2 linked regions of the Oryzias latipes genome follow. The protein of the gene in region 2 purifies or fractionates together with the protein of the main gene of each other region. This does not show direct contact. Links are inferred from orthologs where the notes say so. Each region holds a gene or a part of one and is shown on either strand. Other genes may lie near its edges.

Region 1 (16,775 bases), on a different chromosome or scaffold from region 2:
TTGGGGAAAATTGGAGGCTAAATGAGTCTAAAAATGAAGGATGCTTTTGAATCTTCAACAAACAGCTGCTGTGCTGCCCTCAGACGTACCTCTTCAGGTGTGGCCACAAAGTTAATGGCTGTGTAGTAGCGGTCATCCTCCTGCGACAGGCTGAAGGTGAACTGGTAGTCGATGAGGAGCGTGTCTGAGGAAGAGGAACAAAAAAGAAAAAAGGATTTCTATCTACAGATTCAAAGTCACATCTAAGCTGGGGAATATCTCACCCTCTTTGTAAATAAAGACTGCGTTATGTTTTTGGTTGGATCTGAAGACAGTGCAGTGTTTGGGTAATGGAAGTCATGAAACCATTTCTGCAGCACAGTGAGTCAGGAGCAAATCCTCTTTTTTCTTCCTTTCATTACCCCAAAAGTTCCAATTTCCAGTCTCTTTTAGACTCTATCGACCTGCACAGGAAAATGAATTTCCTTTGTCACTTAGCAGTCACACCGGCTGCAGTTTTCTGGAATTGCACGATCCTTCTCATGCTGGCAACAATGAGTGCAACAGAGAAACTTCTTCTCTTTGCTTACTCAAACTTTTTGAGATGGATGACATTCAAAAATCTGATCCCTGGAACTGGGTTCAATCAGACCTCTTCCTGATCAGCATTTCTTCCTCTACGTATAGTTTTGGGTTTATTTAAAAACATTTGATAACCCGACCCTAACCCTGTTTCCTTCCCTGGCTTGAAAAAAAAAATGCTTCATGTATGAAATCAACGCTGATGCAATCAACCGCTTTCAAAATCCAACATGTCAAATGAGAAAACCCTAAGAAGCACCACACTTCAGGCAGTAAATGAACGCAACCAGAATGGATGCCGTCACTTTCGGATGGTTAACCTCCTCAGAGCTTTAATGGATCTGCTCCATTTAGAGTGATATGAAACAGAAATGAGTAGATTTTCAGAGGCCTGGTTTCTCATTTACTTAATCAGTCAGAAAATTGCTTCATTTATTGCATTTAATTTGAGGAATAACAGATGAGACTGATTATTAATATCTGGTAGCTTCCACAGATATCTGATGCGGGGGGGGCAAACACACACATCCTTTCTACGGGCGGAGCGACACACCTGAACGCCTCATTGTGTTTCCTGATGGCTTTAAATCTATAAATGGGAGATTCCCCACAACCATCAGCATCAAATCTCCCCTCAAATAAAAGCCATTTTTGTCATTTGAGGATGAATCTCTTAGCCCTTGTGCTATCTTATGGGGTCCAGATGACCCCACCCTTACATTGACGTGTTCTCCATACCATGACAAAGATGGATAAAGGTGGAAAGATTTCATGTAATCCATGGACACCAGTGAAGATCACAAATCATTGAAGAAAAAAGGTTCAGAGCACTGTCTAGTGGGTCTAGATGACCCAACTCCCAATGCTAAAGTGCCTAGGATAGCACAAGGGTTAAGATGTAGACAACAATTACATATATAGTGGGGCAAAAAAGTATTTAGTCAGCCAACAATTGTGCAAGTTTTCCCACCTAAAATGATGAGAGAGGCCTGTAATTTACATCATAGGAAAACCTGAACTACGAAAGACAAAATGAGAAAAAAAATCCCCCAAAAAAATCACAATGTCTGATTTTTACTTGTAAAATATGGTGAAAAATAACTATTTGGTCATCTACAAATACGCAAGATTTCTGTCTCTCCCAGACCTGTAACTTCTTCTGTAGAGGATCCTCTGTCCTTCACTAATTACCTGTATTAATGGCACCTGTTTGAACTGGTTATCTATATAAAGGACACCTGTTCACAAACTCAAACAGTCACACTCCAAACTCCACTATGACCAAGACCAAAGAGCTGTCTAAGGACACCAGAAACCCAATAGTTGACCTGCACCAGACTGGAAAGACTGAATCTGCAACAAGTAAGAAGCTTGGTGTGAAGAAATCAACTGTAAGATCAAATATTAGGAAATGGAAGACATGCAAGACCACTGATAATATCCCCCCATCTGGAGCTCCACCAAGATGTCACCCCGTGGGGTCAAAATGGTCACAAGAACGGTGAGTAGCGAAGGCCAAATTGACGTCTCGTGAAGCACTGACCAACTTCGGCCCAACTGTGCTGAAACCAACACTTGGCAAGGATCATTTAAGTAAGAAATAGTGACATCTGCTGGTTGTCTGTTGTTAATGCATCCAAGTACACATGCAGGCAAAAGCTCCTGACTTTAAAGCTCAGTCTATGTTGGTCTTTTAGAGAAATGATTGATCAAAGGTGTGTAATTTTCATTTTACCTGGATAATGCTATGCCAGCTAATTGATGTGACAAATATGTTGCATGGTAATATTTGCTTTGGATATACAATTGGCAACATGATCATCTCCACTAGTGATGAGTCGGGCGCAATTGAAAGGGGAGCGTCAACACAAAAATGGTACTGGGAAAAGGAGCAAAATGTGGAACCATTTGACTTTTAAATATAATAAAAGATCATAAAAGAGTGTAGAGTGTACATGGAATAAATTCCATATAAAACCAGCTCCACAGCAGATGAAATGCTAATGAGTCTTTTTTTTTTGGCTTTCACAATGTAACTTTTATTCTGAATTGTGGTTCCAGTGTTTTGTGTTGATTTGCTTCCCTTTTTTTTTTTTTTTTTTTTAAAGGAGAAATAAAAATGTAAGCAAATAAAAGTTGAATTGTAAATAACTGGTTTTGTTTTTTTTCTTTTACATTATTTATTCATGTTGTGCATGATCCTATATTAACAAATTAAAGAAAGCAAAAAATAGACGTAAAGAGCCGTTTGAGAGCCCAAAGAGGCTCTTTTTTAGTGAACTGACCTAGAACAGCCGAGTTGCTAAAAGGAGCCGGGATTTCCATCACAAGGGACCCACACTGGCAACAATGTTTGCTCTGTTAGAAAGCCTGGCTAAAGTGCTGCACCTATTTGTTAAAACCACGGGTCAAACAGCTCCACCATTGACGCATTTCAATGTGCTAAAACAAGTGATGCGACATAACAAGGCTTTGTTTCCATTGGTCACATGATCTGCCGTCAACTCCAATCAATACTGAGCGACACTTCCAGTTTAAAAAAAAAAATCAATGCCGGTGAATGGTGAACAAAAATCCCAAAACCACACGGGGGACCCAGTGAATGACCTGGGACCAAAGTAACGAAGGCTACCATCAATGACGCACTACACCGCCAGGGACTCAAACCCTGCAGGGCCAGACGTGTCCCCCTGCTAAAGCCAGTACATGTGCAGGCCCGTCTAAAGCTGGCTAGAGAGCATTTGGAGGATCCAGAAGAGGATTGGAAGAATGTCCTAGGGTGAGATGAAACCAAAATACAACTCTGGTAAAAACTGTACTTGTTGTATTTGGAGGAGAAAGAATACTGAGTTGCATCCAAAGAACACCAGACCTACTGTAAAGGAAAGCATGAATGGGGCCATGTATGGTCAGATTCTGAGCGAAAAACTCCTTCCATCAGCAAGGGCATTGAAGATAAAAACGTGGCTGTGTCTTTCAGCATGACAACCATCCCAAACACACTGTGCGGGTAACAAAGGAGGGGCTTGGTAAGAAGATGTCAAGGTCCTGGAGTGGCCTAGCCAGTTCCCAGATATTAACCCCATAGAAAATCTTTGGAGGGAGTTGAAAGTCTGTGTTGCCCAGAGACAGCCCCAAAATATCTCTGCTATAGAGGAGATCTGCATGGAGGAACGGGCCAAAATACCAGCAACTGTTAATGAAAACCTTGTGAAGACTTAACAATACAACAAGTACTGAGTTGAATGTTTATTATTGGCCAAATACTTATGTTCCGCCATAATTTACAAATAAATTCTTTAAAAATCAGTGAATTTCTGGATTTTATTTCTCATGTCGTCTCTAATAGTCGAGGTATTCCTATGATGAAAATGACAGGCCTCTCTCAAAATTTGTAAGTGGTAGAACTTGCACACTTGGTGACTGACTAAATACTTTTTGTCCCACTGTATTAAAAGACTGTATTAGTTTACAGAACCAGTGGAGTTTGAAGACAACTTTCCATTTGGTCCAGGTGCAAATTATGGAGTAAAATACACTGCTCAATAAGAATACAGGGAACACTACAAAAACACATCCTGAAAAAACAAGAGACATGATGTCCCAGATGTGCTCAGCTGGATTCTGGTCTGGTCCATTCTATCACTACCTTTGGCTAGCAGAAACTGCTGACACACTCCAGCCACATGTGGTCCAGCATTGTCTGGATTAGGAGGAACCGAGGACCAATCACATCAGCATCTGGTCTCACAGGAGTCCCAGGATCTCATCTTGGTGCCTACTGGCACTTAAGCCTCCTCTGGAGAGCACACAGAGAGCTCTGTGGCTCCAAACTGTTACTGACACACTGCCAAACTGCCAAGTTGGACGATGTTGGAGGCAGCAGAATGTCCTCCACGCCGTCTCCAGACCCTGGAGGTCAATTTGCCGGGCTCTGGCAGTGCTCCTCCCGTTTCTCCTTGCTCAAAGGAGGTGGTAGTGGTCCTGATGCCGGCTGGTTGCCCTCCTCCACATCTCCTGATGTACTGGCTTTTCTCCCGGCAGCGCCTCCATCCTCTGGACACTACCTTGACAGCAAACCTTCTCGCCTCAGCACGCATTGACGTAGATCCTGCATGAGCTGCCCCACCTGTGTGGGCCGTCGACGGCGTCTCGTGGTACCGCTGGAGCGACATCATTGTTGGCGTTAAAAAGTTTTCTGTGGTCACCATGTCCAGAACCACTCCTGTACTGGAGGGTTTTGCTGATCGCCTATTATGGTCTGTTCCACTTCCACTAAAACATGTGAAACTGGCCGTCAGTCAGTGCTGCTTCCTGATTGGACAGTTTGATTACACAGAAGTGTGATTGACTCGTTCTTTAGATGTCCCCCTTATTTTTTTGAGCAGTGTATTTTGTGTTTGGAATTAATCAACCTGAAATAAACAGTCTGTAAGGACGCCATGGCACGTTCCTCTGCTGCAGGATTGCAGAACTCCCTCCTCTGAGGGACATTTTGTTGAAAAACCTCAACAGAGTTTTCTTTGATAAACAGATTTGTTCCTTTGCTTTGACCAGAGCCAGACCTCATTGTGTTTTCTTTTTGGCAACCATCAGAGCCTCAAGTGAGGTTAGTCACTGAAATCCCACTTACAGTAGCAGGTCCCTTTGAGGGGGTTGCCTTGGTAACGACTCTCCACTTCACACCTGAAAGGAAGGAATTGAAAATAGAAGAAACAGGAAGAGGGAAAAACAGAAAAGGAAGAGAGAGGTGATGAAAAAGGGCTGGGCTTCACTTCAGGCCGTGAAGACATTCAGGCTATAACCTGGGTCCCCGAGAACGTATATATTTATAAGAAAACAGCTTCATTTCTTTTAACAGGTTCGTTCAAAACTGCCAATGATGATGAGAATGGAGGAGTGTGTGAAGCATGAGAAGGCCAGTGGAATCAGACTCACAGGTGGCATCGGTCTCCTTTGATACCCTTGGTGGTGCAGAAACATTTGCCATTGTTGGGGTTGCACATGCTGGCGTGGCCATTACACTTGCAGGCTGGAACAGGACAGGAAGCAGGGATAAATGGAAAGCTCACACACTTGGAATAAAAACCATCTTTGACTCAAACTCTGTGTTTGATTGTGAGCTAACAGAGTTCAGGCACTTTGACACAGAAATGTTGGTTTGCTACGAAAACAAAAAAACTTGGTTTACAGACAGGCTCATCAGTTGACGGAATCTTGCTGTGTAAACTGTGTTTTTCACAGAGAAAACAGTTTTAAGGTGGAAATGACATCTCACATACGGTAACAGCATGGAGGCAAGAAGCTCAATTAACCTGCTGGCGTGATTACTTTTTTTCCTGGGTTGACTGACTGTCAATTCTTTCACTTCCCAGAGGAAGGATTTGAGGACTCACCGAAACAGCCCACATTAAACAGAACTGTAAAAGGCCACGCAGTAAATGATGTCGAGTGCAGGAAAACTGACTGGTTGCTGTAGTCAGAGACTGACACTTACGCTGGCAGCTGCCGCCGTTGGTTGGGTCTCCGTAGTATCCAGAGACGCAGCTCTCGCACTGTCGGCCGGTGGTCAGGTCCTCGCACTTCTCACAGACGCTCTCGTTGACGCACTGACTGTGGCCATTACACTGACACGCTGCCAACCAAGAAACAAAGCGGTGCATCTGAGCGCAGGGCATTCTGTAAAAGCTGGGAAGCGTATGTGATAAAAAAAACACAACACCTTTCTCGACATGAAAACGTGTCAGGAAGGGTGTTATTTGTCATGTGAACACGACAACCTACAGCACTCAGATTGTCACAAACTTCTTCAGATGGAAGAAGTGCAGAGCACTTTGCTTTGCATGACTGCATCTCCTGTCATACCAGCATCTGAGCTAACCCTCCGGACCCCGCCCCTTTACCTGGACAGTGGATGAAGGACCAGTCGTATTTGGCCTCGCTCGGACACATGCTGGAGTTGAGAGCTGGATGGGGGCTGGCGGGTAGGCCTGGCTGGGTGGAGGGGGCCGGGACGGCGGTCTGGAAGGGCCCGCGGTAAGAACCTTCGATGCACTGGCCTTTGCCTGTGTTGCTGGGGTCGGTGCACCAGCCGCAGCCCGGCTGGTCCAAACACTGCCCACATGTTCTGTACCCCGAACAGTTTTCCGCTGCAGCAGAAAAGAATGTAATCACTTCAATGAAAAAATAAAATAAAATCTTCAGAGCAAACATCTTTCTTGTTTATTTTTAGCCAAAAAATGTGCAAACCTGTGCGGAGCACGCAAGTCACCCGCAAGAAATATCAAAGTAGTAGATCGCTTAGAAAACCCGCACAGAGAAATGCAAATTGTTTTCTAGAGGTATCTTCCAGATGAAAAGTTACAGTAAACATTTATACATCATTTGAGGGTAAGTAAGGGTGAAAAACGCAAGATTCAGGCGCGTAATACAGATTTATTCTTTTTTTTCAATCCCTGCCAAATCCATCGGGTTGTGCAAGGAGCCCGAAAGTGCTGTTCACGTGATCCGTGCATGCTAAGGAAATTAGACCCACAGAGTGTAGTTAGTGTGGACATCAGGCATCCTATAGGCATCACTTGCGTACCTGCACACCCCGTTTGTGAAGAATTTGCATGGAGTCAGTAAAGATCCAATATTCACACCTTACTAACGACCAGAGTGTGGTGTAAGGACGACAGTATCACCCACCCATACGTCTACATCAACTCCTGCGGTGCCTGACGTGTCCCCCTACTAAAGCGCGTCCATGTGCAGGTCCGTCTTACAAATAGTTCACGATACTCTCACCACACGCATGACAATATGTTCCATTTTCAGGACATCCCTTAAGGGAACTGAAGAGACACCTTTGCTCCAGATAAGGTGGCTCCCCAGACAATCCAGAGAACCTGCAGCCCCCCTATGGGTCAATCCCCATGCAGGTGCATGTGACTAAGTCAAAATCCAGGTGAGCGATCTGCCCGAAATACTGGCACTGAGATTTCTAAGTCTCTTTCCTTCCCCATGTAGCAGTGCCACATTATAAATCGTATTTTCATTTTACTGTTGGAAAAACAGACAGTTATTGGATTCCACAATTAGCCACATTATGGATCCCCTATTTAATTATTTTGTCAACATGTTCGACATGTCATATTAGTTTTATTTATATGTATATGTGTGCAGACCAACTATGTCTATTAGGCCTGCACAATAGACCGCAAATTTATCGTTATCGCAATATCCAGCTCTGCAATATGCATATCGCAAAAGACGGCGAATATCGCAATAAATCGCAAACCCAAAATGAGTTAAAACAATCTTCTAGCAGCTTGAAGCATTTAACGAATCAAATAAATCCCTTTATGCTTTGACCAATCAGATGGACGCCTTCCCATTGTTGACCAATCAGATGGAGGTCTATTATGTTAACCCTGGTCCTGAAGAGCCTCAACCCTGCCTGTTTTCCAGCTCTCCTTAACCAGCTTGCTGTTGATTGGCTGACTCAAGTGATTTCACATCCTGATTGACTGAACACACCTGATTTTGGTTATCATTATCGAGCAGTCTAGGGAGAATTGGTAAACAGACAGGGTTGAGGCTCTTGAGGACCAGGGTTAGCCACCCTGACGTTTGTCCCCCATGTTGATGAGGGTCATTTGGAGTATAATTTTTAAACTGTTGCAATGAAATGGGAATGATGTTTTTGTTTATTTTTCTATTTGTTTATTTACCGCAAATTTAGTGTTATCGCAATATTGATCACTAATATCGCATATCGCAAGTTTTCCTCATATCGTGCAGCCCTAATGTCTATGTTGTAAAAAGAAATGGTGTATATTTGATAAGAGTCACGGTGTGACGCTTATGTGACTGACTACGGCTAAAAAAGGGAGGAGACTCCGAAAGACACCGTCACTGCCGCTTCTGGTAATACAACACGGCCCGATGGTTTCAGATATGACGGCTGTTTCTCTGGGTGCATCGTTTGAGTGTATGCAGGCACTTTCAGCTACACATCATGTGGTCTTCCCTTTGATCGGTAATTCCTACGGTAATTAATTCAACTGAACCGGTAAAAAGCTGCTGTCCATCTGAATGTGGACGGAGCGTTACGGGCCCGCCATCTTTGAGACTACTTTGTTCTAGGAGACGGAAGACGCCAAAGAAACTCTTAACTAACAGAGTATAAATAGTAAAAAAAGCCGGATGTATTAGGGGGATATGTTGTATATATCTGTTTATATTTCAATAATAACAGTGTTACTGAGAAACACCACTGAGTCGCGTTGGCGTTGTTTTGTGTAAACATACTGTAAAGAAGGAAGGTGATCCCCGTTTGTTTTTTGCAATTACTCTCATTGACCGTTTAGGGTTTCAACTCTGCATTTGAACTGATGATCTCCTTCATTCTGGGTGTTGAGAATGTTCTGGAGCAGCAAACAACCGTCTGCTTCTATTAAGCTGCTCTCACTTCAACAAAGCAGCAGTTTGGGCTGGCATAATAACACGGTTCATAAACATGTTCATGTATCATACATGGCAGTGTAGTCACTTCATGTGTTCGAGTTGACAAGACGAGCTCAGTTGAAACACAGGTACATTTTATATTTTTGGTGTGCTTTGCTCGTTACCAAAGAGCAGAAGAACGTACGTGGACAAGTGCTCAGCGTGTACCACTCCATACACTGGCCGAAGGGGAAGGAGGCCACATAGGCGTTGGAGTCGACGCACTGCTTCATGTTGCTGCACCACATGCACTCGGAGCTGCTGCTGGTGCACTCGCTGCAGGTGCTTCTCATGGCACACGGGGTCCGGCACTGTTTGGCACTGTGGTTGGCTGAAGAGAAAGAGCAGACAGAGTTTTCCTCTGCGCACCCAGGACCTGCAGGACAAACACGCCTGCCGCGTCCATGTTAGTTCCATCTCAGTAAACTTTCAATATTAGAATACATTCAGGTACATTGTTCCCTCCCACCAATGAACTTCCTTTATAGTTGAGGATTTTATCATTAAGACCATTCTTAATTAATTGAGTAGTTTTACTTTAGTGTTCAGACAGAAGTCACTGACGTTTAAAAAAAGACACGTTATCCACGACTGCCTAAAAGACCGTGACAGCGCGTGTTCAGTGACGGTCTGACCACGAAGACGTTGGAGCGAAACTTTTCAACCAACTCCACAGCAAGATGAAGACACTTTGTGTCAAACTTCATGAGGTTTGCAACATGAAGCAAATGACAGGGAGTGTGTACTGCTCCCTTCATCGAGGGGGACCCAGCCGGAGACGGGACAGTGCCCAGATTCAATGCATCCTTTTCATGTGAATAAACGGTTAAGTGTGCAAGATGAGCTTAAAATGGAGCAAAAAACTGTAATTCTTTATTCATTTCAAGATGTGTATTCACAAAAGTGTTCCATGTTTGTAAAACTGTTAAATGAATCAGCATATTCTGTCGCAGAGAAAAGCGGCTCCTTATATTCGTAATGTGTCGCATCTCAGTAAAAAACACTTTGAAGTGTTGCTTCCCGACGCAAAGTTGCCTTTTTCTCTGCATATCAGCTAATTCAGTTTGATTGAAGTTATGGTATGGACGTGAAAGAAGCCAGAATATTACTAAAGTGCAGCTATGTGAATTATGCAGAACAACATTGTATAGGAAACCCTGAAAATGCAAAGAGACACGCTTACGAAGCCCAGTTCAAACTGAAAACTATCAGCTATGCGGAGGAACATGGGAATCGAGCAGCTGCCAGAGAATTCAAGATGAATGAATCCATGCTTCACAAGTGGAGGAAGCTGGAAAACAAACTGACAAGTCAAGATGACGCAGGCGAGGTGGTCTGAGTGGAAGACTGACTGGAACGACCGCTGTGAAAAAACAAGTGAAGCAAATGAACTCGGAGCTCACTGTCATTCCGGGAGGCTGGACGAAGGAACTCCAACCGCTGGACATCAGTGTGAACAGAGCTTCAAAGTAAGGTTGCAAAAGGCGTGGGAGCGGTGTTGAATGGCGAACACAGTTTTGTTAAGACTGGGAGGCGGCGCCGGGCGAGTTACTCCACAATCTGTGAATGGATGGTAGAAGCTTGGGCTGACGTGTCTGCTCGCACTGTTCTTCGGGGTTTCGCAAAAGCTGGCATCATTCATAGGGAGCCGCACAGCAACAAGACGGACTCTGACGACGACAGAAGTGAACCCGGCGGGGGTGATAGAAATCTAGCCCAGCTGTTCATTTCAGACACAGAAGATGAGGACTTTGATGGATTTTTGGATGCTGATTGATGACTGAAAAAATGAAAAATAAATCCCAACCAACTCAGTTTGGTCCCGCTGCCTTTTTTAAAACACACACTAGCACGCATGCTTTACCAGTATGTGTTAACGTGCCCGCACCTTAAAACCCTGTGCGCCTTTTGTGTCTGTACAGAAAAATCATCCATAACTGCGCCCTGTAACCCAGTGCGCCCTATGGTCGTGAAAATACTGTAGTCTCTTCAACCAGGCTAGCGATGTCCGGGGACCATTCCGTTGTCTGCCGCCAGGTCCTCTTGCCGTCACTGAAGACAGTAGCAGTTCTCTCCGTTTGAGATTGTTTTAATGCCGGGCAACAATAGTCAAGCCCATTGGTGGTCCGGTTATTGATGACGGCTAAAATACAGGCTTTTGGTCATGAAAACACTACAACGGTGTGGGTAGGAAGAAAAACTGTCCAAACCGTGAAAAGGAAGAGCTGAATTCAAAAAGGAAGAGCTGACCTGGCCGTTCACACAAGCTGCCGTTCACGGGGTTGATGCAGGTCTGCGCCTTCAGCCCGCTGGGTGCTGGCTCTGCCAGGTACCCGCAGAATCCCGCATCGCTCGGCTCGCCAGGCAGCCACTGCAAGATGGTGTTGGTGAAGGGCGACATGTCCTCCCAGCACCAATAGGACACGTTGATTTTCCTCAGTCCCACCCACGGCGTGTACTGATGGAAACACACAAAAAGGGTTTACTGCTTTCAGGTTTGGGCATCCGTCAGCACCAAAATCACCTGTCAAGCGTCCATGGAAAGGGTTAGCGTGGGCACTTCAGTTCCACCAAATCCATGAGAAACGTCTGTACCACAGAAACCTCCTCTTTTAGCAGAAAACACTTTGTTGTTTCATCAACAGCAGTCATTCTTTATCCATTTATGTAGCAATGATCAAAAAAAGCTCACTCTCTAGAGCTTGAATTCATTTCTTATCAATCTTATCAATCGAGCCAGAAAATGCGTAAAAATGCGGATCGGCCCCAATGGAGTCCATCTAAACCAGCAGGAAGAATGTTTTCAACTGCTTCCACAGCAGATTACCTTCAACTCTGAGGAAACAGACACAATCTTTATGTTTACATCATGACCATGATGCATTTATTCTAAAGGTTACAAACCCAACGACGACAACAACTCAGAAGCCGTACACAAATGCAGTAGAGAAAGCCCCTGGTCCTCCATTTTCTGCCCAGAACCAAACAACCTGTCTGTTTTAGTGAGCTTTTCCATTATGCTAAAGAGAGTTGCACATTGGAATAACAGTTCTTTTCTGACATTTTTACTAGATCCACTTGTGTTAGGTTGATGTCTGAAGGCATCCAGACCTTAGGACCTGTTCTGGAAGAACCAAGGTGTTTGTAAACAAGAATAAATCATCAAAACTTGATGGCTAAAGTCTAAAACCTTCTCAAGAATCTTCATGAGCTTGTCGTGACAGTAGATGGGAGTTTACAAGGCAAAAACGGAATTTTTAGAAACTAAAAATACAAATTAGTTTCAAAAGGTTTTCCCCAGGAAAATAATCTTTAGAGAAAATGTCTTTTTTTCTCCTTGGTAAGACCATTTTTCTAACCACAGTGGCAGATTTCTTTTTTTGCTCATTTAGAGAAAATCTGCCAATGGGCGAAGACTTATTGACTCCTTTCTTGGGTTTTTGCAATCATGCAAACAAACCTTTCACCCATGTTCCCTTCAACAATCCAGCCAGTAATTTATTGTCTGACCAACTTTGATTAACTGGTAACTACGCCCCTTTTTTTGTGCTCAGTAGTGTTTAAGCTGCATTCAAGTTCGACTAAAGTATTTTTGAAATAACATGTTACGTTTTTGCACCCTTCCAGATGTAAAGCTTGACTATTTGACAGAATAGTTAGAAAGATCTAATGATCACGTCAGAGTTTAACTCACAAACATGCGGTCTTAACTAAGGCCCGTCCAGTCCAAGGACGTATCATACTATTCAACAAAGGACAAGACAAATATCCTTTTAATACAATAAAAGAAAGACATTGGTAAAATGATGGCTGAACATTTCCCTCCTAAATGTTTTGGTTCATTTTTAACAAGATAGCAATGATAGTTCAGCTAATCTAGTATTTTTACATCATGGACTCTCTCATTATCTGATGGCACCAATTCTCCTGAGGACAAAACAGAATTTCATTCAATGCCAGCCTTGGTCTCCATCCTTACCACCAGGCTCATGCTCTGCAGCTCCTTCAACACAAAGTCCACCTTCTTCTGTGTGGTGAGCGAAGCCAGCAGGGCGTTGTGGCTCCTGCACGCCAGTTTGGCGTTGTCATACGTGTCCTTCGCTGTGATAAACTTCAGACAGGAGTTGCCGACCAGGTGCCAGTTTTCTCCACACACATTTTCTGGAAGAGAAAGAACTGTAAAGATTTCCTTTTTTGTTTTCCTTCAACTTTATAAAGAGAAAGAAAACATTGTTTTTCCTATCAGTGGAGTGGCAAAAGCTCCAGCTTTTATTTTGAAGGTGTAATCCTGAAAGTAACATCATTTCTTCCACCATAGAGATTTCCTTGAGACCATCGATTTAGAAATAAAAAAAATCCCTAAAGCTTCAATCTGCAATCAGAAATGTGTCCGCTGCGCTATAACAGCTGACATTCTCCATCCTATCCAATAATCATGTAAAGTTTTTTAGTTCTAATTCACTAAAAAAAGCCTTTCATGCTGTACAACAATATGGCTGTAGTTTGTACACCGCAGAACAGAATCAAAGAACATGGAAAGATTTCAAAGAAGGTCTCTCCTATTGGACTTGATGGCAGCAGCACAAAGCTCTTGAAGCTGGAATGGGGTGGTGTTCCCCCCACTGGGGGGTCCTCCATTCCTCAAACACCAGGCCTCATGTTTGGTAACCCAGCAGGAGGACCCTAAAGCCTTGTTTCCACTGAGCGGTACCGTCCGGTGCCAGTCCGGGTTAGAATGGTCCAGGCATTTAAGGTGAGCGTTTTTACTCAAAGCCGGAACCGTCGTGGCGCATTCGGAGTGAATCTAACAAGAACAACAATGGAGGTCATCCAGCAGCTCATCGTTTGCTTCTTCGTATCTACAAAGCATTTAATGTTGTTTGAGAGATGATTGCGGGCGGCGAAGAGAAATACAGACGCTTTCTTGGAGCGTTCTCTTGTCGTAATGACCTTAAGCCAATCAACGGGTTTCAACTGTAGCTCCGCCCTCACCGGTCCGTTCCATTTTTCTATGCACCTTCAACCAACAGTGGCCCACAATGGTGTGGCCTAATGGGTCCATTTAATAATGGAAACGCTCCAAATGGGCTGTACCATACCGTGGCGCTCATTAAAAGGTTTCATGTTGTGAAGGCTCAGACTGCATCCAGGACGGTCCGGCAGTTAGATCCTTGCAGGAAAAATGTGTTTCTTCTGTCACAGATGCAGCGTTCTCCAAACAGACAGCGGTTTCTATTACAGTCATGCCTCTTTATAATGCTGTAATGTCTCCAGATTTGAACCATTCTGTCTTGTACCCCGCACATGAAGATTTCTTCATCTACACTGACAGTTTAGCAGATGTCACATATATCTCACATGGACGATTGATTCTGAAATTGTTCAAGCATTTGAAGATCCAACTTTTTTGGTAGTTAAACTTTATTGAAGAGAAATTTCGGCTAAATATTCCTATTAGAACAATTCAATCTGCTACGATGGAGTTTTGGGGCCACCACAAAGATAAAAATAAAATAGTAAAATTACGAGATTTAAAGTAGTAAATTTACAACAAAAAAACTTGTACATTTACGAGATTTAAATTCATAGATTTACTAGTTTTTTTTTACAAATACTTGAGATTTAAAGTCGTAGATTTACGAGATTAAAGTGGAAGTGATCTTACAGAGCAGCAAGTGAACGCCGGGCAGCAGCAGAGCAGACCCACTAAACACAATTGAAACAGGTGAGCTGAATATTTATATTCATGTTTTATTTATTGTTGGACGGCTTGCAGGATCTCTGCATCCGTTGATGAAGACGTCCGTGTCCCTGCAGCTGTCCACTTCAAACGCTGCAGAAAACGCTCCACATTTTTCATCTTCAAGCTAAGCTAGGATAAAAAGACAGCTTTGGCGTTTTTCCTCGTTAATCTGACTTTTTTTTAAGTATTAAATTTACGACCTAAAAGTCGTAATAAAAAAAAATATATTGTTTGTAAACTGGCCCTAAAACTCTGTCGTACTTTGCCAGACTTTATGGTAACCTTTTTTTAAAAGTTCTTAGCTTTGCTCTTGCCATCAGATTCTCACATTTTTCATGAATGTCCCACATTTAGCCTCCAATGTTTCTGATGGTTTTTCAGCCATGAACTCATTAATTTGAAATGTTGAATTTATCTGCATTTTTTTTTTCATACTTAACCTCACAATCCAAAAGAACATATTTGTGTGCATGTGCTCTGCCCAAAAGCGTAAAGGTTTTTTTTAATGGATGCAGTTACCTGGCAGCTGCACACAGTTCTGGTTGCGAATATCCCACTGACAGTTTTGGTCGACGGAACAGCTCTTGCAGCTGGTTTTCTTCTGGCACACATATAAGGGACTGTCCTTGGGGCAGACGTCATATTCTACTATGGAGCCCTGAGAGGGAAGAGCAGAAAACACCTCAGGCAACAGATGTGGTTCTTTTCTTATCACCTGTGGGGCTTTTTGAGCAGCAAATGCCTTCAGGCAGACCTTAAAGTCCCAACACGGCACCTCAGCAGGTTTAAACCCGGGCTTTGACTTTTGAAACACCTTCATTTGATGTTTTCCGGTCAGTTTGTTGTCAATTTGTAGTGACATTATCCAATCGTTTAGGGTTTTTTTTCACATACATAGACTGGATTTTTCCAGAACACCCAGTTTTTCATGCTGACTCACAGTTGCACCGTTCAGGCTCTAATGCTGCAAGACATCCCATATCATTATCCTTATCATACCATGCTCAGCAGTGGGGTCCAGCTGGTTATAAAACATTGAAATGTTGAGATGGAATATGAGCCTATTACTACAGTGCTTCTCTGGTGACAAAAACCCTCCCAAACAAAGCTTCTCCATCGACAGTGCTTTGTCCATTAGAGAGAAAGAAAGCCTTTTTTGTTGATTAAAGCCTGTAAAGAGATTGGAGCTCCAAGGCTGAAGAAGCATCTGGTCATGAGGAAAAGTGGCAGCTATATTTTTCCCCATGACCATTCTTCTTCCGGATCTTTGAAGGCCTCGGCGTGGTCAAAGCTGGACTCTTCAGAGGAAACTCACCGTGGCAGAAGTGCAGTTGCTCCCCATGGAGAGGCACTTGCCGGAGCACCACTGGCAGACGTTGGTGTTGGCGGTGCAGCTGTAGCAGTCAGTGTATTGATCACAGCGCTCGTTATCAGCATCTGCAATGTTTAAAGGAAACATATTCAATCATTGCTTTATTCTGAAGAAAAAACAGCATAACTTTGCAGACACAGACAAGCTGACTTCTGACGCCAACAGGAAAACAGCAGGATGGAAGTGGGGGACTTTTAATGTTTTAAAGGGAACTAACAAAATGAAAAATAATAAAGGGCAACATGAGGAAGAGACATTTTATCCAGGCCATTTTTTTTAATCTCTCCAATTTACCGTATTTCCTAAACTATAAGCGCACCTAAAAGCCTTTATTTTGTTCAGAAATATTTAATCCCAAGCGTCTTACATATGGACTACTTCTGCTGTAAACAAGGTTGGATGTTATTGTGAATACGTTATAGCAGCTAACGTGTAGCTGTGTCTGACTGTTTAAAAAAAAAAAAAATTATGTGTTACTAACAAGGTTAACATCTGTCGTTGTGTCCTTGGGCAAGACACTTCACCCTCCCTGCCTCCAGTGTGGCTCCACTAGTGTGTGCATGTGTATGAATGTCCCGGTGATGGTCAGAGGGGCCGTAGACGTGAACT
Region 2 (16,875 bases):
GGACTGCGGTTCCAGGAAGCCACTCCTTTGCTGGTTTGTCTTCGACTCTCCCCTCTAAACCCCCCCGTTCCCAGACCGAAGTTCTGAACTTCCGTGACCGAACAGCAGTAGGTGCTTTAGGAGACGGGACAGGTCGCAGGCCCCCTGCCGGGCGCGCCCAGCGGGAGAACAGGACTGCAGAGCAAACGTCTGAGCTGAGGCTGAAGCTGTGCCAGGTCTTCCCCGGTCAGGACAGCATGGTGGCGCTGCAGCTGCAGCTCCACCCCGCAGAGACAGATGTCAACCTGCTGTCCAGTTTCATCCTAGAGCAGCAGGACTAAAATCTCCTGAAGTTTTTTTCAATCTTTCTTTTTTTTGGATCAGCAGTGTTTTTTTTGCTTCAGCTGTATTCCATTGAAGCAGCTTTATTTTGTGTGTGGGGAGCCGTGAAAACATTCTGGATAGAATGAAATGATTTCCATTTGTCACATGTCCTCCATGTGAAGGTGATCATGATTTTCCAGATTATATTTATAGACAATGTTAATAATTTGAAATGCAGGCTTTAATCTAGCTGATTTAGTCATTTTACAAACTCTTTTTTACAAACTTTTACTATTAAATTATTATTAAAGGTTTTTCAAAGGAGTTCCTGGGATCTTCTGTCAGGCTCTTTCATGAAAGCAAAGGCCCCCTGCTTGACAGCAGTCTACAGTTTAAGCAGCCCTCTCAGACTCCCGGCCTCCTGCTGGTTTTTCAGAAATCCTGCCTCGTCTGCTGCTGATTACCTGGATCTGGTTGTTTAGCCAGTGAGGAGCTTCATTAGCAGATTAATTTAAAATCATGTAGGACACAGGCCTGGCGTTTGAGCCCTGGGGTTTAAGGTGATCTCTGATCTCAGAAGTGGAACAGTGCATGTCCCCTTGGTCTGGCCCTGGTCTGGGTGGGGGATGTGATTGCCCTGCGGGTGGATTTCCTCGATCTGCTATACCACCTGGGTGTCGGGGTTCCTGGCTACTACTGCTGCTTTGGCGGGGGTCTTGGTGTGGAGGTGAATGGGCCCTTCCTCTTTTTACATTCCATCAAGAGGACAGGTGTTAGCTCACCTTTGCACAATAGTACACATGACTGAATGATAAATGCTTTACATGTGATGGTTTGTATGCATATGTATGTGTGTGAACTGTAGTTGTATTGTGTACGTGTTGACATGTACAATATGAAGAGTTTTGGAGCCAAGAGGCGTGTTTGTAAAATTTAAGTGTGCGTGGACAGGCCCCGCCCCTTTTGGACTAACATTTGCACCCGACAGTAATGATTATAAACTTCCAGCAACTTGTTGCTGTATGATTCTACCCCCGCTTCTATAATCATCCTCCTATTTACTTTATGCCCCCTTTCTCCCTTTTGTGCCCTTACCCCTCCCCAACATCCCTCTCTTCTTCCCTCCTCCTCTTTTCCATCTAATCCAACTGATACAAATACAATATAAATAAAGTTGTGGCCTAAATTACAAAAGGGGTTTATGCAAATATAAACCTTGTGAATAAGAAGATTCATAAACCTCTATTGTAACAGTAAAATATGTCCAACACAAGAGGCTTTCAGCTCACATCTGTTTGCTCAGCTGTTGGACAGGACAAGTTTAAAAAAGAAAAGGTATAACAATGTAAATGGTGTACACTTGTATACCGCTTTACAGTCACAGACCCATTAACACGCCGGTGGCGGCTCCGCTGCCGAACACTGGCGCCAACCTTCCACCAGAGGCAAGGTAGGCTTCAGTGTCTTGCACAAGACACTTAGACACATGGGTGGACAAGGCGGGAATTGAACCTACAATTTTCCGTTCAGGGGTCGACTGCGCAACTGCGGCACCACAGCCGTCCTGTAATGTACAGCCTTCAGCAGCCATGTGACCTTCGTCTGTCATGTAGCCTCCTTGCCTCCTCAAGTGGTTTTCATCTCATCTCTGCCTCAAAGTTCCTTTGGGATTTGAGCAGCAGCACAGCTGAAACCTCTATTTTAACTTCCTCATAGATTCTATCATTTTTGTTCATACAATGAACGGTAAATTCTTCTGAAATGACCAGCGCCACTACAACATCCATATTTATTCAGTTCTTACAAGAAGCAGGATCAATAATGTCTGTGATGACATGGAAGTCTAGCGACAGGTAGACAAAATCCTACAGCATAACGCCTTTATTACAGATGCAGATACAAAGGCTTGGGGAGGGGGGCAAGGTTATTGGGAACATCCAGAAAAAAAAACTACAGTTAAATAAGGAGAACAAGGTGTGGGGGCAGAAGATCAGTCTGTAACAGATCAAGTGGGTGGGTGTTCTCCAGAATGTCATGAAGATGATGCTGATGACGAAGGTCTGGGGAATAAATGTCAATCTGGTGCCAGAAGAACCTCAGCTGCAGATGTAGCAAGCACCTCCTCCTCAGTGGACCAGCTCCAGCTGGCTGCTGGAGAAGGGCAGCACGCCGCTCACGTAGTAGGCGATGCCGAGTGAGAGGAGGGCAATGACCACCAGAAGCAGCAGGACCCTCCAGAAGCCCAGATCCTCCACGAACTCCTGCCAGGTGGTCCTGAAGCTGGACAGCACCCCCTCGCTGCTCTGCAGGTGGGGGTTCAGTAAGGAATGACTCTCCATGGCGCTGGCAGCAGAAGAAGAAAGACTTCAGACCAAAGAAATTGAGTCCTATGAGGTCACATGACCACTGAACTCTGTGCACATGGATGCGACACCCCCACATACACACTTCTGAATGTCATGCACCCCCATTACCTCTCACTGTCAGCCATCTGCATGGTCTCCAGCTTGGAGTGAGCCCCTCTGTTGAAGCCCTTCACTTCCTGCTCCTCCAGACCCTCCAGGAGGCGGATGGCGTCTTTGTTCACGCCCCGCCTCTTTGCCAGCACCAGGGGGGTGGAGCCATTGTGGTTACTGAAGCCAGGGATTAGACACAGAAACAGGGGAGGGTAAGTCAAACTGAAAAAAAAAATAAAAACATGCAGCATCCTTTCTGTAAAAATGGGCCATAATCCAATCCCACAATCCTTTGCTGTAACCAAATGAAACATTGGTTTTAGAGAGTGACCACAGACACGGACATGCTTGTAAAGGATTCTGTTTGAATCCTTCCTATGCTGTGGAACAAACAGCAGCGATGACAGAGAGCCACTAACCAAATGTCAATCTTCAGTCCATTGGACACCAGGAACTGGATGGTGTCCACATGGCCGCACAGATGCAGCGCTGTGTTCCCCTGGTAGTCTGTAGCGAGAAGGTCAGCGCCAAACTTGTGCAGGAGGCGACAGATGTCCACGTTTCCTCGCGCCGCAGCCAAGTGCAGGCCTGTGCGGCCACGGTTGTCGCGGATGTTGGGGTCGCATCCCGTTTCTAGGAGTTTCTTGGCGAAAGGCAGGTCCCCGTCGATGCAGGCCTGCAGCTGGGGCACGCTGGTCTGCGACGAGTCATTGATGAAGACATAGGACATGTCCGAGTGGGTGTCAGAAAATTCCAGCGTACCTGCAGGAAAACAAGCGGGAAACGGGATGAGAAACCTCAGCAACTCATTTAACCCTTGTGCTATCCTAGGCACTTTAACATTGGGAGTTGGGTCATCTAGACCCCACTAGACAGTGCGCTGAACCTTTTCTCTTCAATGATTTGTGGTCTTCACTGGTGTCCATGGATTACATGAAATCTTTCCACCTTTATCCACCTTTGTCATGGTAGGGATAACACGTCAATGTAAGGGTGGGGTCATCTAAGATAGCACAAGGGTTAAGGCTTCTGCAAACATCTGTGAAGCTTCTGTGAGACCCCCGTCCCATTCCAGAAGTTTCCACTCTACTAAATATTCCAGTCCACTCTCAGTGCAAATGGAACACAGAAGAAGACATTGGGAAGGACGACAACTCTGACTTCTTAAGTGAAAGGGAACATCTGGGTTAGTCTTGTACAAAGTTTGGATCCATCTCTTTGTTTGACCTTGTAAAAAATCAAGGCCACAGGATCTATAGATTATTCAAAAGCTGTCTTGCAGCAAATTAGGATGAATTATATTACAGCATCACTATGATTCTCCCTTAACCACAGCGCAGAGCTCCTCTGCTGATCAATCAAGAACATCTGACATGGGAGCAGAATGCTTCAAAAGCTGCTCCCCATCAACAGCTGATGTTAACATGATGTCAGTGAAAGTTTTGTGGTCAATCATCAGTTTCGGTGCTGCCTACCTCTGATGAACAGTGGGCGGGGCTTTTTACACTGGTGGTTTTAAGTGCAGTAAAGTTAGGCTATTAATCACAGCATGAAATACTGGAAACTGGATTAGAGTCTGTCACAATCGGACTACTGCCAGCCATTGTCTTCCACAGTCTTTCTATTATAGACCTTTGGGAAACTAGACATGAATACACCACCCAGCCTACTTACCGTGCAGTTATATGCAACCATGGCAAAAAGTTCGTTCATGGAGCCTTGGTTCTCCCTGTGGGTCTGATCGTGCTCTCTAATGCAGTTATGCAGATGACACTCAGCTTTGTGTAACTGTCACCAAACCATCATAGTCTATCAGACTCCCTGCTGCTCAGAGCAGCAGAACTCCTACATGAACTTTATTGAGTTCAAAAATGACAGACAGAAGTCTCTGTTATTGGGAACAAGAAAAAAAGAATGAAGATCAGTGATTTTTAGAGGAATGAAGATCAATCTTAACAGTCATGCCAAACTCAGAGCTGAGTATCTGTGTCACGTGGAATAATAATAATACTAATACATTTTAGGACTCTTAAGGCCACTGTTTTTTTCTGATTTGTTTTCTGATTTGAAATGGTTTATTTCAAGCAATCAAATAGAAATAATACACAAAAACAATATAATCATCAGTTATACATTCATACAGTAACTAATCAAACTTAGGATAATTAGACATAATTAATAAATATTGCTTGAAAGGGAGTGGAAAGAAGCGAACTTATATAATCCCACCCCGTTATACTATAACCATTTTATTACATGATTTATCAATATCCGGTTCCTAGGTTTTATCAGACAGAATTAACAATCATAAGGTATCAATAAAGCACATGCCAAAGATGAATTACTTAAGTACTACGTCAAAAATAACTATTTTAGAAATCAACATGGCAAATGCAGCATCTGAAATATATGCAAATTATGTTACTTTTAAAAGTCATTCATATGCTTTAAAACATAATACTATATCAGTAAAATAGACACAACACTGTTTCAGGAATTTTCATAGCAAAATTTCATCAAGTATCAAAAGTTAAAAACATGTGCAAAGTTATGCTACATTAGGAAAGATTTTTGAATCAATTTATCAATTTTAGGAGCTAGTGAAGTAATATCATCAAAAGTCAATCAATTTAACAATTTTCAATAAGTGATTAATCATTTGTTTTACTTTTTTTAAATATTTTTTTGTATTTTTATTTTATTTTTATTTTTAAAAATTTTTTTTTATAATAAAGAAATGCTGTAGGGCAGTGTTTTTCAACCTTTTTTGAGCCACGGCACACTTTAACCTTGACAAAAATCCCGCGGCACACCAGCATCCCAAAAAAAAAAAAAAAAAAAAAGCAGAAACTCATAGTCTGTTTTGATCTACAGCCCCCCCCCCCCCCCGGCAATCTGACGTGCATTTTTGTGATAATTGTGGCAGAAAAAGCAGGAAGTTGCAGATGTTTTTCTAAAAGATGTAATAAAAGTTAAGTTACATACAAACTGTATGTTCGTTGTGTTTTCAAGACGCTGTCCCTTTAAGCCAATGCATCATGGGAGATGTAGTGTGAAAACTGCGAGAAAACGGCAGAAAGACTCGCGTCTCTGAGCTTCATGGTTTTGTTCACTTGTTCCACGGTCTGATACCGGATTCTGTGGAAAGCTCCACCGCTATAGACGAGCTTTAGCTGGTGTTTTTGTCGGAACTGACTGAGTTATGAGCTAAATTAACCACTTCTGATTGGTCAGACTGATGACGTGATTAATCCTTCAAGAATGATTGGTGGAGTCGTGGAGACAGTAAAAGCTGCGGGACTTTTCCTTACACAGTTATAGCTGCAGCTATTTCGCGTTACCGTCATTCTTATCAAAATGTCTTTAATAGAATCAAATAAACACAACGAAAAAAGTATTTTATGATCGTTTATATTCCTAACTACTCAGTGTTTTATCAGGACATGTTTGGATGAACAAAGAGCTGATTTCCTGGAGATGGTTAATGTTTTTAGATCAGTTAATGAGGGCAATTTTCCACGGCACACTTGACCATCTCCCACGGCACACTAGTGTGCCGCGGCACACTGGTTGAAAAACACTGCTGTAGGGGAAGAGTAAAAAGGGTCCATAACTGTCGATTGTCCAAGGTTGGTATTTCTGTACAAATAAAACAGATAAAACATGATAAAAAAAACAGAGAAGAAAGACAGAAACGGTGAGAAGGTGGGAAATATGTGATTTCCTGTACAGATATGTTTTGAGTTTGGATTTGAAGAGGGACAAAGACTCTTAAATCTGGTGTAAAAGAGTTCCAGAGTTTGGCCAAGCCCCCATGGTGCTGAGGCGGGGTAAGGGTAAAGTCAGGTGAAGGGAGGATGAAGAGCTAAGGTGTGAAAGTGTGACGACTTTGACGAGAGCAGACAGGCGGGAAAGGGAGAAATCGTGGATGGCGTTAAAGGTGTGCAGAAGGATTGTGTAAAAAATTGTTGATTGGACCGGAAGCCAGTGGGGTGGCTGTAAATCCGTTATTCCATCTCAGTCACAGACTCTGAGTTTTGATGTCTGGATTTAAACCGATTCATGCCTTCATTTCCTGTGGGGCAGATGGTTGGAACAGTCTTCAGAAAACTGCAGTCAGTTTAAACCAGAACCAGGAGAAATGCCCGCATCACGTCTGTTTTAACCTTCTTACACCGGGTACCAGTTGCAGAACTGGTTTATTTAGTTCCACTTTGATGAAAATTATGTTTTTAACTTTTTCTTGTGGCATTTTTTCCTGATTATGGAGGACATACATAAGGAAATTCATCTTAAAATTGCATTTCGGATCATTTGTGAATCAGGAGCAGATGGAAAAATGCGGTTTGAAAAAAAATGGGCGTGAAGGTAGACCTGCTCTGTTCCATTCTGGAGCATCCATTCTGGAGCATCCACTTGTAGACCTAGATCCATGTAGATCCTTACAAACCCCCCCTCACACCCCAGCATAACTTCAGCAGTATTGGAGCTATCCAGCCGTAGAGTTTTGAGCCAGATTCCAGTTCAAAGGAGGACAACGAAGATGTACCAGATGCTTTTGTAGGTTCTATGTGATGCTGTTATAGGTTCTATTTGATGCTTTTGTAGGTTCTGTGATGCTTTTGTAGGTTCTATGTGATGCTTTTGTAGGTTCTACATCACACCAACAATCTACAATCACAGCTTTTTTATGCTTCTGATTCACATTTTTTTTAAATTCTCAGAAATGCAATTTTATGATGATTTTTTTATCATATACTGTTAGAAAAATACCAAGGACTTGTTAAAAACACAATTTTCATGTATCGATTTCTGCTTTGTTATTAAATTACTGCAACTAAAAGAGTGTGTGTTCTAACTGAACATCTTTAATATTAAGGATCTTCTCTTTTGCCTTTTCGTTTGTGTTATGCTGTGCCATGTAGTCACAACAAGAACTGTTAGTTCATTTATAAAAGTGTTTGTAGATCAATCTAATTTGTTTACAAAGTTGTTAACCAGTTACGTGGTAACCAGGCAGAATAACTAGTTAACACCGATAGCCGGGTTAAAAAATAGCCTGAACCTAACGTGTTGTAAGTAGGCTTAACTAACCACAGGCAGGTGAGTATGCGAATAGGTGGAAGCGTAAATAAACAACTGTTTTATGACGTCATCGCCGAGAGAAAAAGATCCAGATGTTAGGGAGCTAAGGCTAAGGGAGCTAACTGCTTACGAACCACTCAAACCGAGGGCTCAAACCTGAGCTTCAATACCCACACCGAGAGCAAATTTTTCTTTCGACTCAAAGCTGTTGCCTTGTCCGCGCATCTCACCTGTTTTGAGGATCCAAGTCAGAAGAAAAACAGCTCTCCGTTGCCTGACACTGCTGAGATGCTAATCCTGTCTGACTCTTGTCTGGTTTTACCGGCGTCCAAACCGCATTTTAGTGCAACACCGCCACCTGCTGGACCGGAGCAGAACATTCATGTTTTTTTTGGTGTTTTCCATTTCACAAACTAATCCTCTCAGAGGGAATGCTGGAGAGTTCTGGACAGTTCCCTTTTCCATCAAAATGTGTTTTTTCATGTTAGAAGTGGTAAGAGTGCCACTAAACAGCAAAGCAAACAAAGAGCGTCAAACAATACTGTTTATTTTGTATTAATTATTTGCTTTTGTTCCCAAGACTTTTATCAAAACAACGTTTCTGCAATGAAATAAAAGACTTGTCCATAAAAAATAAACATCAAATTTTTCCAGGTAGAAAACCCCCCAAAAAAAGTATTTATTTTAAAGAATTATGAGCACCACTGTCCTCCTGAGGGACTTCAATGCCCACGGGGGAATGACAATGGCACCTGGATGAGTGTGATCTGTAGGTATGGCCTCCCTGATCTGATCCCGAGTGGTGTGTTATCATTGGACTTCTGTGCTCATCACAGTTTGTCCATAACGAACACCATGTTCAAGCACAAGGGTGTCCATCAATACACTTGGCGTCAGGACACCCTCAGCAGGAGTCTTGGACACTCAGGTAAAGAGAGGACCAGGGCTCTCCACCGATCCATACCTGATGGTCAGTTGGATTCTCTGGCAGGGAAGGAGGCTGGAAAGACTTGGCAGACCTAAAAGTACCGTGAGGGTCTGTTGGGAACGTCTGGCTGAGCCCTCCATCAGGGGAGTCTTTAACTCCCAAAGAGTGCTTCAAACGGGTACCAAGGGAGGCTGGTGACATTGAGCCAGAGTGGACCATGTTTTTTTCCTGTGTTTCTTTTGTCCTGTGTGTGTCTCTGGTCCTGTGTGTGTCTTTGGTGTCTTTTATATGTTACTATCACCAATTAAACAACCATAAAAATAAATGGATATGGAAAATAAAGAAAATAGTTAGTGAAGAATGACATTGTTAGAATGAGTTGAGTAATTTAAGCCCCCCGATGATCCAGGTGTTGAGCAATGGTCTCTGTGCGCCGTTTTACCTCGCAGCTTGCGCCCACTACCCCTCCCCTTCTCCTCCTCACACACACACACGCCTCTTTCTCAAAGGCGGGAGAGCCAATTCGCAAGGTTCAGGCCGTTCCATACTCTGCCATATAATTCATGACAGCAGAAATAAAGTGCCACAATTACTAATAGCAAGCACTGAATCGGCACCCTCTACTATCCAGGCAAGTACCGTTGCGCCCGAGTCTTAAGTCACTATCCTCTTACTTAGTAGCGGCCCAACTGGACATGTCCGAATCTGCTACCCGTGCCCATGCAAAGCACAACCCCGGTTTGTTGAGAATGACACTCACAAGTTAGTGGACAATCAAATCTGCCCGTTTATTTTGAAAACACCCACCACCAGCCAAACAGCATTAACCTCACTTCCGCTTACAGCTCCCTCACTTAAGTGAGCGATTTAACACACCCGAGATTCCCCACTTCCCATTAGTCTTAAAAGCTGAAGACGAGGCTAACCCCCAGATCGCCACAATATAATTATTTGCCATATGAGCAGTGCTATTTTTGGAGCAATCCCTGCTCGGGGGCGCATGGGCACCGGCAGGCACAGGGTTGGTGACCCCTGAACTAGAATGGTTGAATGCTATATTGGTAAATGAAATTAAACTAAAAGACTAATAATTGGCTAAATAAATAATTAAATAAATGATCATAGTTGACCATAAATAAAGTTAAAACAGCACAATAACAAGTTGTGCACCACAGCTCACGTGTCATGCCACAACGCCACCAAACGGATACAGTGGACAGGACAGATAACAGCTGTTTGTGATCATTTAGTGATGCAGCGACTCTACGGCTTTTCTACTGTCTGGCATCTGGGATGATTTAAAATAAAAGTAAAACTAACATCTTGACAAAAAATACATTTTTGAAAAGCCAAAAAAAAACTTCCCATGATTTTATATATTTCTTATTTGGATTGATTTGACATTCTAGATGTGAGGCTTTGTTTGTAAAAGTTGAAGGCTTTTTTCCTCCGTCGACTGGCACAGCGTATGACGTCACGCCAAAGCAGGGGAGATTGTTGAAAAGTAATAAAAGTTTGAAATCAATTCGTGAAAAACTGGCAAAAATACGTTGTAGTCTAGCCTTGTGAGCATTTTAACTTTTTAATGGTGTCTCTAGCTGAAAGAATGCCAAAATAAGAAGCTTCTAACAGGGGGAACTTTGGTGAAAATGCCTCTCCCATTGAAACCTGTATAAAGCTTAAAATACCACAAAGTTTAAAGGTTTACATAAAAAAAACCTAAAACATATTTGAAAAATCTGAAAGAATTGAAAGAATTGGAATCAGTTTAAAACATTGTGATTAATTTGCAGTTTGAAAGGTGTCTCTAGCTCAAAGTATGTTGAAGTTATACTGGTGGAAAGAAGAAAAGGTTTTCAAGGATTCCCAATGTATTTCAATGGAGGCAAAAATCCTGGAAATCCTGGAATATCTTGAAAAGTTCAAGGATTTGAAGGACCAAATTTCATAACTTGGAAATAGCTGAACATTTAATAGCTGAATGGTTAAAATAACAAAAAAAAATTGTAGGAGTTAAGCAGCAAAACATGGCGGAAGATACTATGATAAAGGAATAACCCTTGTGCTATCTTAGATGACCCCACCCTCACATTGACGTGTTCTCCCTACCATGACAAAGGTGGATAAAGGTGGAAAGATTTCATGTAATCCATGGACACCAGTGAAGATCATAAATCATTGAAGAAAAAAGGTTCAGAGCACTGTCTAGTGGGTCTAGATGACCCAACTCCCAACGTTAAAGTGCCTAGGATAGCATAAGGCTAAAGAGAAACAAGAAAACAGTGGGCTGAATGCTTTATGGCCTTCAACCAAATATTTTGTTTGATGGAAAACTCTGGTCTGTAGATGCAGATACAGAAACAGGTCAAAATGAAATGGGTGCCTTTATCATGAAATGTCAGATTTTGGTTAGATACCATTTTAATCTGGTGTGTAGATCGATCAAGTTCAGCAATGGTTATTTCTGACTTTGGATTTTAGGTTAAAATCCTATCAGTTTTTCAAAGTAAGAATGTGGAGGATCTTGTAGTTTGCAGCTTTTTTCAAAAAATGTCCAAACAAAACACACAGCAGCCAAGACTATTCATTGTATTTTAATTCTTATACATCCTCTTTGAGGAAAACTGCATCTCTTTCTTCAGGATTCTGCTGAATAAAACATTTGTTTCTGAGTGTGGCGTTAAACAGACAATGAAAATTGTTATGTTTGATATAGTTTTCAAACATTTTATAAAAAAACATCCTGGAGGCATTTTTCTCTTTATAGTTTCATGTTTACCATGTTTACACTTAGTTTTCATTCTATTCCCTCCAATAGCAGTAAATAAGGCGGGATATTATGACATCAGACACATAATTACATTCTAGATTACAAAAGAACAAAAACTGAGCAGGAAAAAAGGCTGAAACCTCAGAAGCAGCACAGATACAGTGGTCAAAAAAGGTCATAAGGTCATAAAGGTCTATTTAGAGTAAACAAACTGAAAAATGACTTTATTGAGAATTTAAATCCGCTCAGGAAACCGCGAAAAGTGAAAGTTTCTTCAGTGAGAACACAGAAGCAGAGAAACCCAGAGATCAAACTGAAGCTGTTGGTATTAAAGTCAGTGTGTGGATGAAGCAGAAAGGGGAGGGGCAGAATCAGCTGAGGCTCAACATCAGTACAGTCAGGGGGTTAGTCCGAGTCAAGAAAACTCAGTTTTTACTGCATGACCTTACAGAGATATGATTCTGGTTAGATTTCAGGGAGGTGGAACATCAGATAAGTATTAGATCTGAATGGTTAGGCACACACACAAAAAACAAACAAAAAAACAACAGGTATTCAGCTCCTCTTCTTCAGCTCTTGTATTGTGTCCGGGTAAAAATTGACCTGTTTTCAGTCTTGAAAATAGGTAACTGTGCTAGGATAAACTGTAGACAGGATCTGTTAGGAGGGAAATGTGCCAACAGGCATTTGGTCGTACAGACATTTCATCATCATCATCATCATCATCATCATCATCATCATCATCATCATCATCATCATCATCATTTCAGAAAGTGATCTCTGAGTACTTAGTCTGACTCAGAGGCAGAGTTAGGTTAGATTTGATTCAGTTTACAACCAGGTTTGACTCAAGACTGAGATATTTAATTAAAGTTAGAATTTTGTTTGATTTAGGATATATTATTTATCAAATTCTGGTTTAAACCGGGTTTTTGTCAGGTTTAAACTAGGTTTGACTGGCATTTGAGTTAAAAGATTTTAAAGTTTAAACCAGATTTGATTAGGTTTAAATTTGATTTGTTTTGGGTTTGAATCAGGTCTGATTCAGGTTTAAATAGTTTTTTTTCCAAGTATGCATTAAATTTAATAAAAACTTAAACCAGATTTTAATTTGAATATAGTTTTATTTGGGTTTAAACCAGGTTCGACTCAGGATTGAATAAAAATGATCCAAGTTTAAACCAGATTTATCTTGCTTGAACTGCATTTGTTTTTTTGGTTTGAACCAGAGGTTATATCTAGATTTAACTAGATATAAACCAGATTTGACTTAAACTAGAGTTAGATTAAATTCAGGTCAAACACGTTTGAATTTTATGCAATTCAGATCAAGTCGGGTTTAAGTGAGATTTTAATTATGTTTTAATCTCATGTTTTTGAGATGGGATGAGGTTGGATTAAATTGAAGTTGAAACTAGGTTTGTGTGAGATTGATATAACTTCATACCAGTTTTGAGTGAGACTTTATTTTTTTTGCAAAAAACAGGTTGAAATTAATATGTTTTTGTGTTTGTGATAATTAGATTCTCATGTTGTCTGGCTGCTTTAAAGGAACAGGGTGAACCTAAAGCCATCCAAAACACCTTTGGACTCTTTGTCTGTATAGTTTAAAGACAAACCTTATTTAACACGTGTACAGAAATTCATGTACGATTGACAGCAGGTTCCCAATGTAAGCATACAATCAAAACCAAGTTGACAATTAATAAACATGAAGTGGGAGTGGAGTTCAGGTGGGGAAAGCATACAGAGCACACAGAAGGAAAGAAAACAGAGGCCAGCTGAAGTCAAAGCTGAGGGAGAATAGCACCATAATCAGTTATAATGAGGAAGATGCAAACACGTCTTTCCTCACTCTGGCTTCTTCTTTCATAGATTCACTGTTTGTGGGGGGGCTCATTTTTTTCAGTCACAAGATCCCGTTCACCAGCGTCTCCACCTGTCTTTTTTCTGAAAGTGTTATCATGTCCCCCCATGGCTATGCCTACAGCAGTTTGCTGCAGACCTGACAGCGACTGACTCTGGAGCGCTCCTGGCCCGCCTTCAGGGTCTCCTGGTTTGGTGAAGACACAAACTCCCGCTTGGGATCCACGGTGGTCAGCCAGAAGCTGTATTTGTTGGCAAAGTAGTGGCATGTGCCTTTGGCTCCATTGCACTCAATGAATGGAGTGGCGCGGAAATCCTCCAAGCAGGAGCCGGGAGACATCAGGGACTGACCGCCGCCTTCTGCACCAGCCGCCGTGTGCTGTGGTCGAGACAAGAAAACACACAATTAAGTTAGTTCCTGATAAATTCTCACAGTCTTCATGATGTAACATGATCGCTATTTTAAAGTCCTACTCTGATCATCTTTTTATGCCTTTTTAACCAAATAAAAAAAACCTGTGTAGTTTTCTGGAACATGGTTTTTAGAAACTCTGAGTTGTGGGCGGGACTGTCCCGTTGTTCAAACGCTCTCACGCTAACTTACAGCCCCTAACTACCCCAACTTAACATTGGCGTTGCAACAAAAATAGTGAGCAATATTTGAGGTATCCAACTGTATAGTTTTGAGTCAGAAAACTAAGGCTCATGGATGCCGTTGTCTAGAAGTGGATGCATCAAAATGGAGCAGAGCAGAAAACCTGTGGCCCACCCAACGTATTTTCTACATCTCAACTACAAGGATTGTAACATGACATTTTTACATCTGCTCCTGATTTACCGCAATTTAAATAAAGAAAATACTCGGAAATGCAATTTTAAGCTTAAATTTACCTATAGAAGTACATCATCATCAAAAAAAAGCTACAAGAACATGTAAAAAACACCAAAAACACAATTTTCGTTGGAGTTGACCTTTAAGCTTTTTTTATAGACAACTGGTAATGCCAAAAATGACTAAGGTTAAAGTCAAGTTTGTCCCAGATTAGTTTCAGGTAGAAATAGAAATTTAGGAAAGTCTGGATAAAGTCTGAACAAATCGGCTGGGTAGCTCGGGTGGTAAGGTGAGAGGCTACCATGCAGGAGTCCAGGGTTCAATTCCCGAAGGGGGATAAACAATGGTACTGGGTAAATTACCATATCAATGGCGAGCAGTTAACATCACCCAGTGGGGGCCCTTAGGCAAGACCCTTAACGCTACTGCCTCCCGAGCGCAGTTAGGCTGCAGCTCACTGCTCCCCCAGGGGATGGGTCAAAATGCAGAGAAGAATTTTCCCATTGTGGGATCAGTAAAGTATCAATTATTAATTTAAGTCAGGTTCCAATTAAATTAGGTTTCAATCAGATTTGACTTAAGTTTATTTTAGGTTTGATTTAGGATTGATTTAATTAAAAAATCAGATTAACAAAGTTGATTAAAGATTTAGCCAGTTGTAGGTTAGGTTTTTATCAGGTTTAAACTATTTTTTTAAATTTAGATTTACATTAATATTTTCTAATATTTTTCTAAGTGTAAATCAAATCTATTTTTTATTCTAATCTGTGATTAAAAGATTGAAGATACAAAAGCACATTTGTGTTTATCAAAAGTTGTCTCCTGTTTAGTTTTTTAGGACTCACCATCAAGAAGGAATATCCAATCCAAAGACTTCTCCACCCAGGGGGGCACATGGGGATGGTCATGTCCTGACTGTGGACCGCCACAGCCTGAGATGGTGCCTCACATACTGAACATCTGGAGGATTCAAACGAAAAGGTTTGATGTCTCATTGAAACGTTCCACACACCGACTGATTGTTAAGTTCAGAGAACAAACTCCTCGTCTATCTTTAAGCCTTCAAACTTTCTGTGGTGAAGCTGATGATAAAGCTGGTGGTCGTTGTGCTGCTACAGACGTAGACGCTGGGAGGGGAGGGGTCATTCTAAGATGAAATAGGTGTTTTCCTTCACATGCCTCCACACACATGATTTCTTTTTTAATCCTAAATGGAGAAATCATTGTTGTAGTCCCTCACTTGTTGTTTCTTTTGTCTATGAACGGTTGTCCCTGCGTTTCTGTCCGTCCCTTTCCTGTACCCTATAGAACACTGGTCCCCAGTCTTTTTCAGCCCAATGACAGGTATAGTGTCAGACAAATTTTCACAGACTGGTCTGTACAAGGTCAAAGTGTTTTTTTGTTTTGTTACCAGTCTCCCTTAACGTTTGAGGGTTAAGTTTATCTTCCTACTGTGAAATACACAAATTAATTAAACTAATGCACGATGGCGCAGTATTTAGCGCTCTTGCTTCACAGCAAGAAGGTCCCTGGTTCAAGTCCCAGCTGGGGCACCTGAAACAGAACATCAATGTGTAGAGTTTGCATGTTCTCCCCATGTGTGGCATTTCTCCGAGGACTCCAGCTTCCTCCCATTGTCCAAAAAACATGGGATAAGTTGATCTAAATTGTCCATAGGTGTAAATGTGAGAGTGCATGGATGTGTGATTGTGACAGACTGGCGACCTGTCCAGGGTGTCCCCTGCCTTTGCCTGCAAGTGGCCTGGTTAGGTTCTAAGGTCAATCGGATGATTTGTTGACATTTGGAGGTAGTACTGTGGTAGTCTGGGGGCAGAAATGTTCCGTCTAACCCAACACAACCCATCCCAAATGCACGCACCATGCACCGTGACTCTGAGGCTGTCCTTTTCTCCTTTATTTGCAAACTACTCACATAAATCAGGCGAGCACAACTCATGTGATATTTGCATCTGAAATAGGAAGGATGAACTTGTTTGAGCATTTATGTGAACGTGTGAAACTAAGGGGAGGGAGGAAAAAAAATATTTACATACACAAATAATTATGCATATCAGTAGCATATAATTTTATTTTGTCCGCTGCACATGTTTTCTCGTGCACTAAGAATGGTGAAAGGGGGCCCTTATGACCAGGCCAACGATTTTCAGAGAAATCTGGCGGCGGCGGCTGAACTTGAAGATTCTGCGGATGCTTCCCCATCACTTGGTGGCAGTTGTATATGTGACCGTAGCTTAAGCCCTAACTGCTGACTTTTAAGGTGCCATGGAAACTTACAAATAAATGTTGCTAAAACTGGTATTTTCTAAACATGATAAACATGAATTCACAGTTTGAGCAAATTTATTAGCAACATCCTCACAAAAGTGGACAGTCAGTTATTGAACATTATGTGTTATGATTACGGTGTGTTGCAATAAAACCATATTTGGAGTAAAGACTCCTGCTTTTTTGTCTGTTAAATGCAGATTTCTTTTATTTTGAAATCTAAGAGTCTTTTGTTTCCTCCCTGGCTCTTTTCAAAGACATTTAATTTTTTAGTTTTTTGACTTTGCTAGCTTGGGGGCTTTCGTTTAGTGGTCGGTGCAGCCGCTGTAAAAAAGTAGCAGATGGATTT

What was found.
Region 1: the proteins of ankrd46 (region 2) and atrn purify together in Homo sapiens (co-immunoprecipitation; 3 studies listed by BioGRID and IntAct, with this or other methods). This does not show direct contact. The link is inferred for Oryzias latipes from reciprocal best matches to the Homo sapiens genes ANKRD46 and ATRN.

What each region holds. Positions count from the first base shown.
Region 1 is NC_019880.2:22,425,665-22,442,439, reverse strand, and holds part of atrn (attractin), read right to left. Parts: intron 16,232-16,775; coding exon 16,110-16,231; intron 15,453-16,109; coding exon 15,314-15,452; intron 13,228-15,313; coding exon 13,031-13,227; intron 11,510-13,030; coding exon 11,302-11,509; intron 9,383-11,301; coding exon 9,197-9,382; intron 6,711-9,196; coding exon 6,465-6,710; intron 6,197-6,464; coding exon 6,059-6,196; intron 5,594-6,058; coding exon 5,500-5,593; intron 5,248-5,499; coding exon 5,195-5,247; intron 185-5,194; coding exon 90-184; intron 1-89. UniProt on the Homo sapiens protein: Involved in the initial immune cell clustering during inflammatory response and may regulate chemotactic activity of chemokines. May play a role in melanocortin signaling pathways that regulate energy homeostasis and hair color.
Region 2 is NC_019876.2:21,533,094-21,549,968, forward strand, and holds ankrd46 (ankyrin repeat domain-containing protein 46), read right to left. Parts: upstream 8,194-16,875; 5' UTR 8,075-8,193; intron 3,522-8,074; 5' UTR 3,490-3,521; coding exon 3,179-3,489; intron 2,937-3,178; coding exon 2,778-2,936; intron 2,647-2,777; coding exon 2,430-2,646; 3' UTR 2,062-2,429; downstream 1-2,061. Other genes in the region: protein KHNYN, read left to right, coding at 1-320; collagen alpha-6(IV) chain, read right to left, coding at 13,527-13,787, 15,086-15,200.